2 linked regions of the Macaca mulatta genome follow. The protein of the gene in region 1 interacts with the protein of each later gene in a biochemical or structural test. Links are inferred from orthologs where the notes say so. Each region holds a gene or a part of one and is shown on either strand. Other genes may lie near its edges.

Region 1 (3,963 bases):
CAAGGAGAGGGTCTTCCCAGGCTGGCTTTGAGCTCCTACCCCGCCCCGCCCCCAATCCTCTCTGGCACATGGAGTCTTGGTCCCCAGAGTCCCCCCGCGGCCTCCAGATGGTCTGGGAGGGCAGTTCAGCTGTGGCTGCGCATAGCAGACATGCAATGAACGGTGGGCGCAGACCCAGGCTGTGTAGACCCAGCCCCCACACCCCGCAGTGCCTGGAGCTGCCTGGGTCACCCACTAACGCCCCAGGCCTGGTCTTGGCTGGGCGTGACCGCGTTACCCTCAGAAGCAGCAGCTCCTGGGGAAACTTTCCCTGCCCCGTAGAGCCCACCTTCCCAGGGCCGTGGCTGGGTGGGTTTGCAGCTTTCATCACAGGCCACCTCAAGCCACTGGACCGCTGGCGCCTGCCCTGTCCTGGGCAGTGTGGTCCTGCGACTTCTAAGTGGCCGCGAGGCCCCTGACTCCCCCAACACCACACTCTACCTCTCAAGCCCAAGTCTCTCCCTAGTGACCCACCCAGCCCATTTAGCTAGCTGAGCCCCATAGCCAGAGGTCCCGAGACCTGCTTTCAGGGCAGTTGCTCTGAAGTCGGCAAGGGGGAGTGACTGCCTGGCCACTCCATGCCCTTCAAGGGCTCCTTCTGCAGGAGCGCACAGCACCCAGGACCCTGGCACCCGTGCAGACCCTGGCCCACCCGACCTGGGCGCTCAGTGCCCAAGAGATGTCCACACCTAGAATGTCCCGCGGTGGGTGGGGGGCCCGAGAGACGGGCAGGCCGGGGACAGGCCTGGCCATGCGGGGCCGAACCGGGCACTGCCCAGCGTGGGGTGCGGGGGCCACCGCGCGCGCCCCCAACCCCCGGGCCCAGCACCCCAAGGCGGCCAACGCCAAAACTCTCCCTCCTCCTCTTCCTCAATCTCGCTCTCGCTCTTTTTTTTTTTTTCGCAAAAGGAGGGGAGAGGGGGTAAAAAAATGCTGCACTGTGCGGCGAGGCCGGTGAGTGAGCGGCGCGGGGCCAATCAGCGCGCGCCGTTCCGAAAGTTGCCTTTTATGGCTCGAGCGGCCGCAGCGGCGCCCTATAAAACCCGGCGGCGCGACGCGCCTCCACCGCCGAGACCGCGTCCGCCCCGCGAGCACAGAGCCTCGCCTTTGCCGCTCCGCCGCCTGTTCACACCCGCCGCCAGGTAAGCCCGGCCAGCCGACCCTGGTAGGCGGCTCCCGGCTCGGCTGCCTAAGGCCGCGGCCCCTTCGCCTGTGTAGAGCCGCCTGCGCCGCAGCGGGGGTCGCATGTGGGGACTGGACTGCAGTGGGGGACGCGGGAGAAGCCCCTGGGCCTCCAGAGATGTGGGGACACCCCGCTTCAGTTTGGCGGCGCGGGGCCCTGCTCGGGAGGCGCGCTCTGGGGGTGCTGCTCTCGGGATGGGGGCAGCCGGCGGGGTCTTTGTCCGAGCCGGCTTCTTGCCAGTGGGAACTGCAGGGTGGGCGCGGCGGAGCCCCCCCGCCAGGCTCGGTGGGGGGCTGGGGCGCCATTGCGCGTGCGTCCTGGGGCTTGGGGCGCTAACTCTGCGTGCGCGCTGGGAATCGGCGCTAGTTGCGCGTGCGCGCTGGGACTCCAGGCGCTAATTGCGCGTGCGTTCTGGGGCCCGGGTGCCGCGGCCTGGGCTGGGGCAAGGGCTGGCCCCGCCGGAAGGGGTGGGGTCGCGGAGGCTCCAGGGCGCTTGCGCGCACTTCCTGCCCGCGCCGCCGGCCGCCTGAGGGTGTGGCCGCCGCGCGCGCGCGCGCCGACCCGGCGCTATTTGAACGGAGCGGAGGCGGGGCCGGCTCCCGGTTGGGAGGGGGTGGGGGCCTGGCTTCCTGCCGCGCGCGGTGGGGACGCCTCCGACCAGTGTTTGCCTTTTATGGTAATAACGCGGCCGGCCCGGCTTCCTTTGTCCCCAATCTGGGCGCGCGCCTGCGCCCCCTGGCGGCCTAAGGCCTCGGCGCGCCGGAAGTGGGCAGGGCGGGGGCCACCTCGGCTCACAGAGCGCCCGGCTTTCCCGCAGCTCGCCATGGATGATGATATCGCCGCGCTCGTTGTCGACAACGGCTCCGGCATGTGCAAGGCCGGCTTCGCGGGCGACGATGCCCCCCGGGCCGTCTTCCCCTCCATCGTGGGGCGCCCCAGGCACCAGGTAGGGGAGCTGGGTGGGTGGGGCGGGCCCGGGAGCGGGCGGGAGGCGAGGGCGCTTTCTCTGCACGGGGGTCTCCCGGTTTCTGGGGTGGGGGCCGCGCCCGTGCTTAGGGCGCCTTGTTTTTTCTTTCCTAGGGCGTGATGGTGGGCATGGGTCAGAAGGATTCGTATGTGGGCGACGAGGCCCAGAGCAAGAGAGGCATTCTCACCCTGAAGTACCCCATCGAGCACGGCATCGTCACCAACTGGGACGACATGGAGAAGATCTGGCACCACACCTTCTACAATGAGCTGCGTGTGGCTCCTGAGGAGCACCCCGTGCTGCTGACCGAGGCCCCCCTGAACCCCAAGGCCAACCGCGAGAAGATGACCCAGGTAAGTGGCCCGCTACCTCTTGTGGTGGCCACCGCCCTCTTTCCTGGTCTCCCGGAGCTGCGCCCTTTCTCACTGGTTCTCTCTTCTGCCGTTCTTCGTAGGACTCTCTTCTCTGACCTGAGTCTCCTTTGGAACTCTGCAGGTTCTATTTGCTTTTTCCCAGATGAGCTCTTTTTCTGGTGTTTGCCTCTCTGACTAGGTGTCTAAAACAGACAGTGCTGTGGGTATAGGTACTAACATTGGCTCGTGTGACAAGCCCATGAGGCTGGTGTAAAGCGGCCTTGGAGTGTGTATTCAGTAGGTGCACAGTAGGTCTGAACAGAATCCCCATCCCAAGACCCCAGCACACTTAGCAGTGTTCTTTGCACTTCCTGCATGTCCCCCATCTGGCCTGGCTGTCCCAGTAGCTTCCTGAGTGTGACATGGTGCATTTCTTCCTTACAGATCATGTTTGAGACCTTCAACACCCCAGCCATGTACGTGGCCATCCAGGCTGTGCTGTCCCTGTACGCCTCTGGCCGTACCACTGGCATCGTGATGGACTCCGGTGACGGGGTCACCCACACTGTGCCCATCTACGAGGGGTATGCCCTCCCCCATGCCATCCTGCGTCTGGACCTGGCTGGCCGGGACCTGACTGACTACCTCATGAAGATCCTCACTGAGCGCGGCTACAGCTTCACCACCACGGCCGAGCGGGAAATCGTGCGTGACATTAAGGAGAAGCTGTGCTATGTCGCCCTAGACTTCGAGCAGGAGATGGCCACGGCGGCTTCCAGCTCCTCCCTGGAGAAGAGCTACGAGCTGCCCGATGGCCAGGTCATCACCATTGGCAACGAGCGGTTCCGCTGCCCTGAGGCTCTCTTCCAACCTTCCTTCCTGGGTGAGTGGAGACCCGCCTCCCGGCCCTGCCTGACCTGAGGGTCACCCTTCGGGCTGTGCTGTGGAAGCTAAGTCCGCCCTCATTTCTTCCTCAGGCATGGAGTCCTGTGGCATCCACGAAACTACCTTCAACTCCATCATGAAGTGTGACGTGGACATCCGTAAAGACCTGTACGCCAACACAGTGCTGTCTGGTGGCACCACCATGTACCCTGGCATTGCTGACAGGATGCAGAAGGAGATTACTGCCCTGGCGCCCAGCACGATGAAGATCAAGGTGGGTGTCCTTCCACCCTGAGCTGACCTGGGCAGGTGGGCCATGGGGCCCTGTGGTGTGTGGGGAGCTGTCACATCCGGGGTTCTCACTGCCTGTTTGTTTCCTTCCCTCCTCAGATCATTGCTCCTCCTGAGCGCAAGTACTCTGTGTGGATCGGCGGCTCCATCCTGGCCTCGCTGTCCACCTTCCAGCAGATGTGGATCAGCAAGCAGGAGTATGACGAGTCTGGCCCTTCCATCGTCCACCGCAAATGCTTCTAGGC
Region 2 (4,260 bases), on another chromosome or scaffold:
ACAGTCAAAGCCCACTTAGAGGTTTGCAATACTTTCTCATACTCAATTGCAACCCAACTGGGTGAAGTAGCAGTATTTACAGTGCTGCACTGCCATTGATACCATTCGCTGCTGAAGAAAGCTAGTGGCCCAGTGATAGCCCACTGCTGCTGCCTCAGGTCTTTGGAAGAAATCAACTTATGTTTAAAGCAGCAGCTACTGAACTGGAATTGAGAACAAAAGAGCAGTTATTGAAAAAATAATATTACAATCTTTTAGAATAGGGAATATACTTGTGTGCTAATGGGAGAAGTCATTAGTAAATATTTAACTAGCCCAAATAGCTCACTTAATATAATTCCACAAAAAAATGAATTACTTTATTGTAGAAGCCTGTAAGGCTAAATTATAGGTAGTGTTACAAGTTTCCGTTAGCTAGTCAGAAACTGGCATTAATTTTACATTTCCTAAGAACGAGAACTTTCAAGTCATAAAAATATGAAACTCCTAGAGCCTGTAAAATAATCCATTTGATACAACTGATGCCGTGCTAAATATTAAACTACTAGGTTCTGAATATAAACCATTATCTCTTCCTGCTTTTAAAAAAACCTAACCCAACTTTTGCTGCACTTAAGCATTAAGTTTTCTAACATTTTGGAAGCAAAAAAAAAAAAAAAACCATCACCGCATTTCATAATTGGGGAGAAACAGCTTCACTTACAAGTATCAAGACAAACCACTGTGTCATCGAAGTGTTCATCTTCTTCTTCAACCGGTGGCTGAGGAGATTTGGCTCTGAAAGACAGAATTGTCTCCTGATACAGCTTTCCGATCAACGAACGAATAAGGGATGACAAGTAAAACTAGGTGAGCATCCTATACCTGCTATACTTGTTCTCTTCAATGTACTCAAAATATCCACGGCCATGATCTTCTCGTGGTCTTTTAACACCCCTCTTTTTATCTCCGCCTTTCTGTTCTGTTTTGCCGTCCCCTAAAACACACAAGACCCCCATAAGAGGCCAAGCCGCTAAACAACAACAAAAAAACGCTTTTCCGTTCCGAGAAGCAAAGCAGCTCGACTTTATCCTGCTTTTTAACCGAGGTTTTAACCGAGGACTCAAATGTGAATTCGAAGAACAATCAGCTACGAATTGGATTAGCGCTAGTGACGCAGTCTAAAGACGTTACGAATTTTGCCAGTCTCCTCGATGATTCGAGAAACCCAAAGAAAAACTGCGCGGCCCAGGCCCGAAGCCCACGTGTATCGCGACCAGGGCGCAGGAGGGGGAGGGGCCGAGCCCGGCGCGGCGGCGCTCCCCTCCCCCGCGGGCCCGCGCTCCCCGCGGCCGCATTGTACTGATCTTCCGCCCCCCGCCCCGCCCCGCCCGGCTCCTCCCGCAGGAAGTGACGTCACGCCGAGCCCCTGCGCTCCTTGCACAATACAGCGGCGAGGAGCCGCCAAAGCGCGCCCGCCCCGGGACCTGGGGCCTCTCCCCTCCCCCCGAGACATGTGCCCGCACCGCGCGCACGCAGCGCGACGGCGCCACCGCGGGCCGACCGGGCTCCCTCCCGCCGCCCGCCCGCGGCTCCTCCCCCTCCAGCGGCAGCTGCAGCTCCCCCCGGCTCTCGAGCCACATAATGGAGGCGCTGCCACCGCCGTCACACACACACACACACACACACACGAACACACGCACACACGCCCCGAGCCCGAGGCCTCTCGGCTAATCTGGGATTCCCCGCGCCCCCTCCCCCACCCGCCACCCTCCCCGCGGCCCCCCGCCCGCCCGGGGCTCCCTCCCCCTGCGGGGCTCCGGCAGGCCTGGGGCACGGTCCCCACCCCGCGCGGGCCTCCCGCCGCGCGCAACGTACAACGCAGCACTCACCCGCCGCCGGAGCCCCGGGGCGACCGCCGCCTCCGCCGCCTTCCGCCTTCTTCTTACCTCCCGCCTGCTGCTGGCCCTGCCTCGCCCCGGGCGGCGCCACCGTCACCGCGAACAGCGAGGTGGGGCCGCTGCTCTTCCCCGCGGCCTCCTTGGCGGCCCCGCGCTGCTGTTGGGTCTGTTGCTGCTGCGTCGCCGGCGGTTGAGGCTGCTGCTCCCCGTGCCCGTTCTCGTCGCCCGCGCCTTCCTCTTCGTCCCCGAGCTCATCTTCCCCTTCCTGGAAACCCTGATCGTCGCCGTTCTCGTCTTCCGAGGCGGCCTCCTCCTCCTCCATCGGGCCCGAGTCGGCCGCCCCCGCGGCCCCGTTCTCCTCTCCTAGCTCCATCTGGTCGCCGTCCAGGGCGGAGATTCCTTCCTCCTCCTCTTCCTCTTCCTCCTCCTCTTCATCGCCGCCGACCGCGGCCTCCTGCTCGAGGCCTGCTCCCGAGCGCCCGGCGGAATCCCCGCCCAGGTCTAGGCTGCCGTTCCCGGGCTCCATGGCGGGGCGGCCCCCGGCCTCCTCGTCGTCCAGCGCGGCCTGGAGTCGCTCCATGAGCTCGGCCTTGAGACCCTTGTCAGAAAGGCGTCGCTTCTTGAGCTCCTCTTTCAGCTCCGACACCTTCAGCTTTTTTACATTAACAGGCGAGGAACTCATGGTGAGGGCCCCGATTCACCGCTAGGCGCTGCCTCAAACTCGGCTCCGCTCACTCGGCCACTGGTGGCGGCTGCTGCGGCTGCTCCTCGGCCCGGGCGGCGGCTGCGGCTGCGGCTGGAGATGGGGTCGTGCTGCAGAGCGGATCCGCCTGGTGTCGAACGGCGCCAATTCCTTTCACCGAGTTCGCGAGGGAGACGCGGAGACTCGCCTGGCGCGAGCGAGCACGCAACGTCCTCTCGCAGGGGCGGCGCCGCGCACGTAATATAGGCGCCCCGCCCCCTGCGCTGACGGGAGCGCTGCGCAGGAGGAAAGCCGGAGCGCGCCCGCGCTCGGCCCCGCCCATTACCGTACTTACCTCCCCGCCCCCACGCCGAACCCGGGCTGAGAGCGCGGCGCAGGCCGCGCAGTGCGCTTCCAATTGGGACTGAGCAAATGGAGGAAAAGGAAACCGCCTTTCAGTTAAACCGACTCACTGCACAATCTATTGGCCTTTCTGGGTCTTTGGTGGCTATACTCGTTTGGCTTTTCGCCTTCCCAGCCTGGAGGCTGCTTTGTCCAAATGCTTTCTTCAGTCCTCAACTTGGCATTTCAACCCGAATCCGCCTTTTCTTCCATCTTAGATCTGCCTTCTTGTATGTTTCTCCAGCTTTCCGTTTAAAACTCCTTCAAATCGTTTTGACTGGTATAACACACATTGGCAACTGTTACACGCAGGGGCTCTTTTCAGCATAATGCTGTATTTGATTTAATATGTGTAAGTCCTGCTTTGCGAATTGGATTTTAAGTTCGAGAAGGGCAAGGGCAGAGCCGTTCTTTTGTCTGTTCCACACCCCGGGTGCAGGGCCTGGGAAGTAGAGGCTTTGCTTACTACTCCATACTGCAAACCCTAGTTTACCAGCCTTTGCAGGGCTATTCTCATGCTCTTAATAACCCTAAATAAACCACAGAATTGCATTTCCAAGTTTTCTGTACCTACCACAAAGACGGACCTCCAGTAAGGCTTGTTCTGTCCACTTTAGGACCTGGTCATCGGCTATGAAGTCTCAGTAGTTAACCATGAGGGTGAGACCCAGCTAGGTCTTTGATTATAGGCCCACTTGATTCTCTTCCTATTCCTGTAGAAATACTCTTGACCAAATCATTCTGAAACTTAAAGTTCATGAAAAATCAAGGGCAGTGATTTTGTTAAAAAAAAAAAAAAAAAAAAAAGGACTATCGCTCTTGAAAAGAAATCCGTTATTTTGTATGTTAGAAGTTTACTTTTTCGCTTTAAATAAAAGATGTGATGTTCCCGAAGTTTTAGACAGGGAAGTCAGAATTTAGATTCGTGATAGAAGTTAACGTCTTAAACCCCAGATAATCTGCAGTGTCCAGCCAGTGTTCCATCTGACTAAGGAGATGGTTTATACCCACTGTTTGGTACTCTAGGTGGCACAATAATATTGCCCCATTATTAATTTGAAATTTGGAGGTATACATATTGAAATTTCTCCCATAGGCTAATGGGATTTAACTGATTGATGCATTTTACTTTTGAAGTTTATTTTCAATGGCTTTTATGAAGCATTCTGTCATACCTTGCAGCCATGTATACGTGAAATATTAACATTTGTGAAATGATTTGACTTGAAATTAATGGACTATGTACGGTACTACTGATAATCCCCAGTTCAAGTTAAGTGGTGAGGCGAGCCCCCA

Evidence for each region. The genes of interacting proteins can lie anywhere in the genome.
Region 2: the proteins of ACTB (region 1) and HNRNPU form a complex in vitro, tested with the Homo sapiens proteins (2 studies listed by BioGRID). The link is inferred for Macaca mulatta from reciprocal best matches to the Homo sapiens genes ACTB and HNRNPU.

The regions. Positions count from the first base shown.
Region 1 is NC_133408.1:43,744,743-43,748,705, reverse strand, and holds the start of ACTB (actin, cytoplasmic 1), read left to right. Parts: upstream 1-1,163; 5' UTR 1,164-1,181; intron 1,182-2,039; 5' UTR 2,040-2,045; coding exon 2,046-2,168; intron 2,169-2,302; coding exon 2,303-2,542; intron 2,543-2,986; coding exon 2,987-3,425; intron 3,426-3,519; coding exon 3,520-3,701; intron 3,702-3,817; coding exon 3,818-3,961; 3' UTR 3,962-3,963. UniProt on the Homo sapiens protein: Actin is a highly conserved protein that polymerizes to produce filaments that form cross-linked networks in the cytoplasm of cells.
Region 2 is NC_133406.1:4,246,174-4,250,433, reverse strand, and holds the start of HNRNPU (heterogeneous nuclear ribonucleoprotein U), read right to left. Parts: upstream 2,801-4,260; 5' UTR 2,563-2,800; coding exon 1,872-2,562; intron 977-1,871; coding exon 865-976; intron 778-864; coding exon 704-777; intron 1-703. UniProt on the Homo sapiens protein: DNA- and RNA-binding protein involved in several cellular processes such as nuclear chromatin organization, telomere-length regulation, transcription, mRNA alternative splicing and stability, Xist-mediated transcriptional silencing and mitotic cell progression.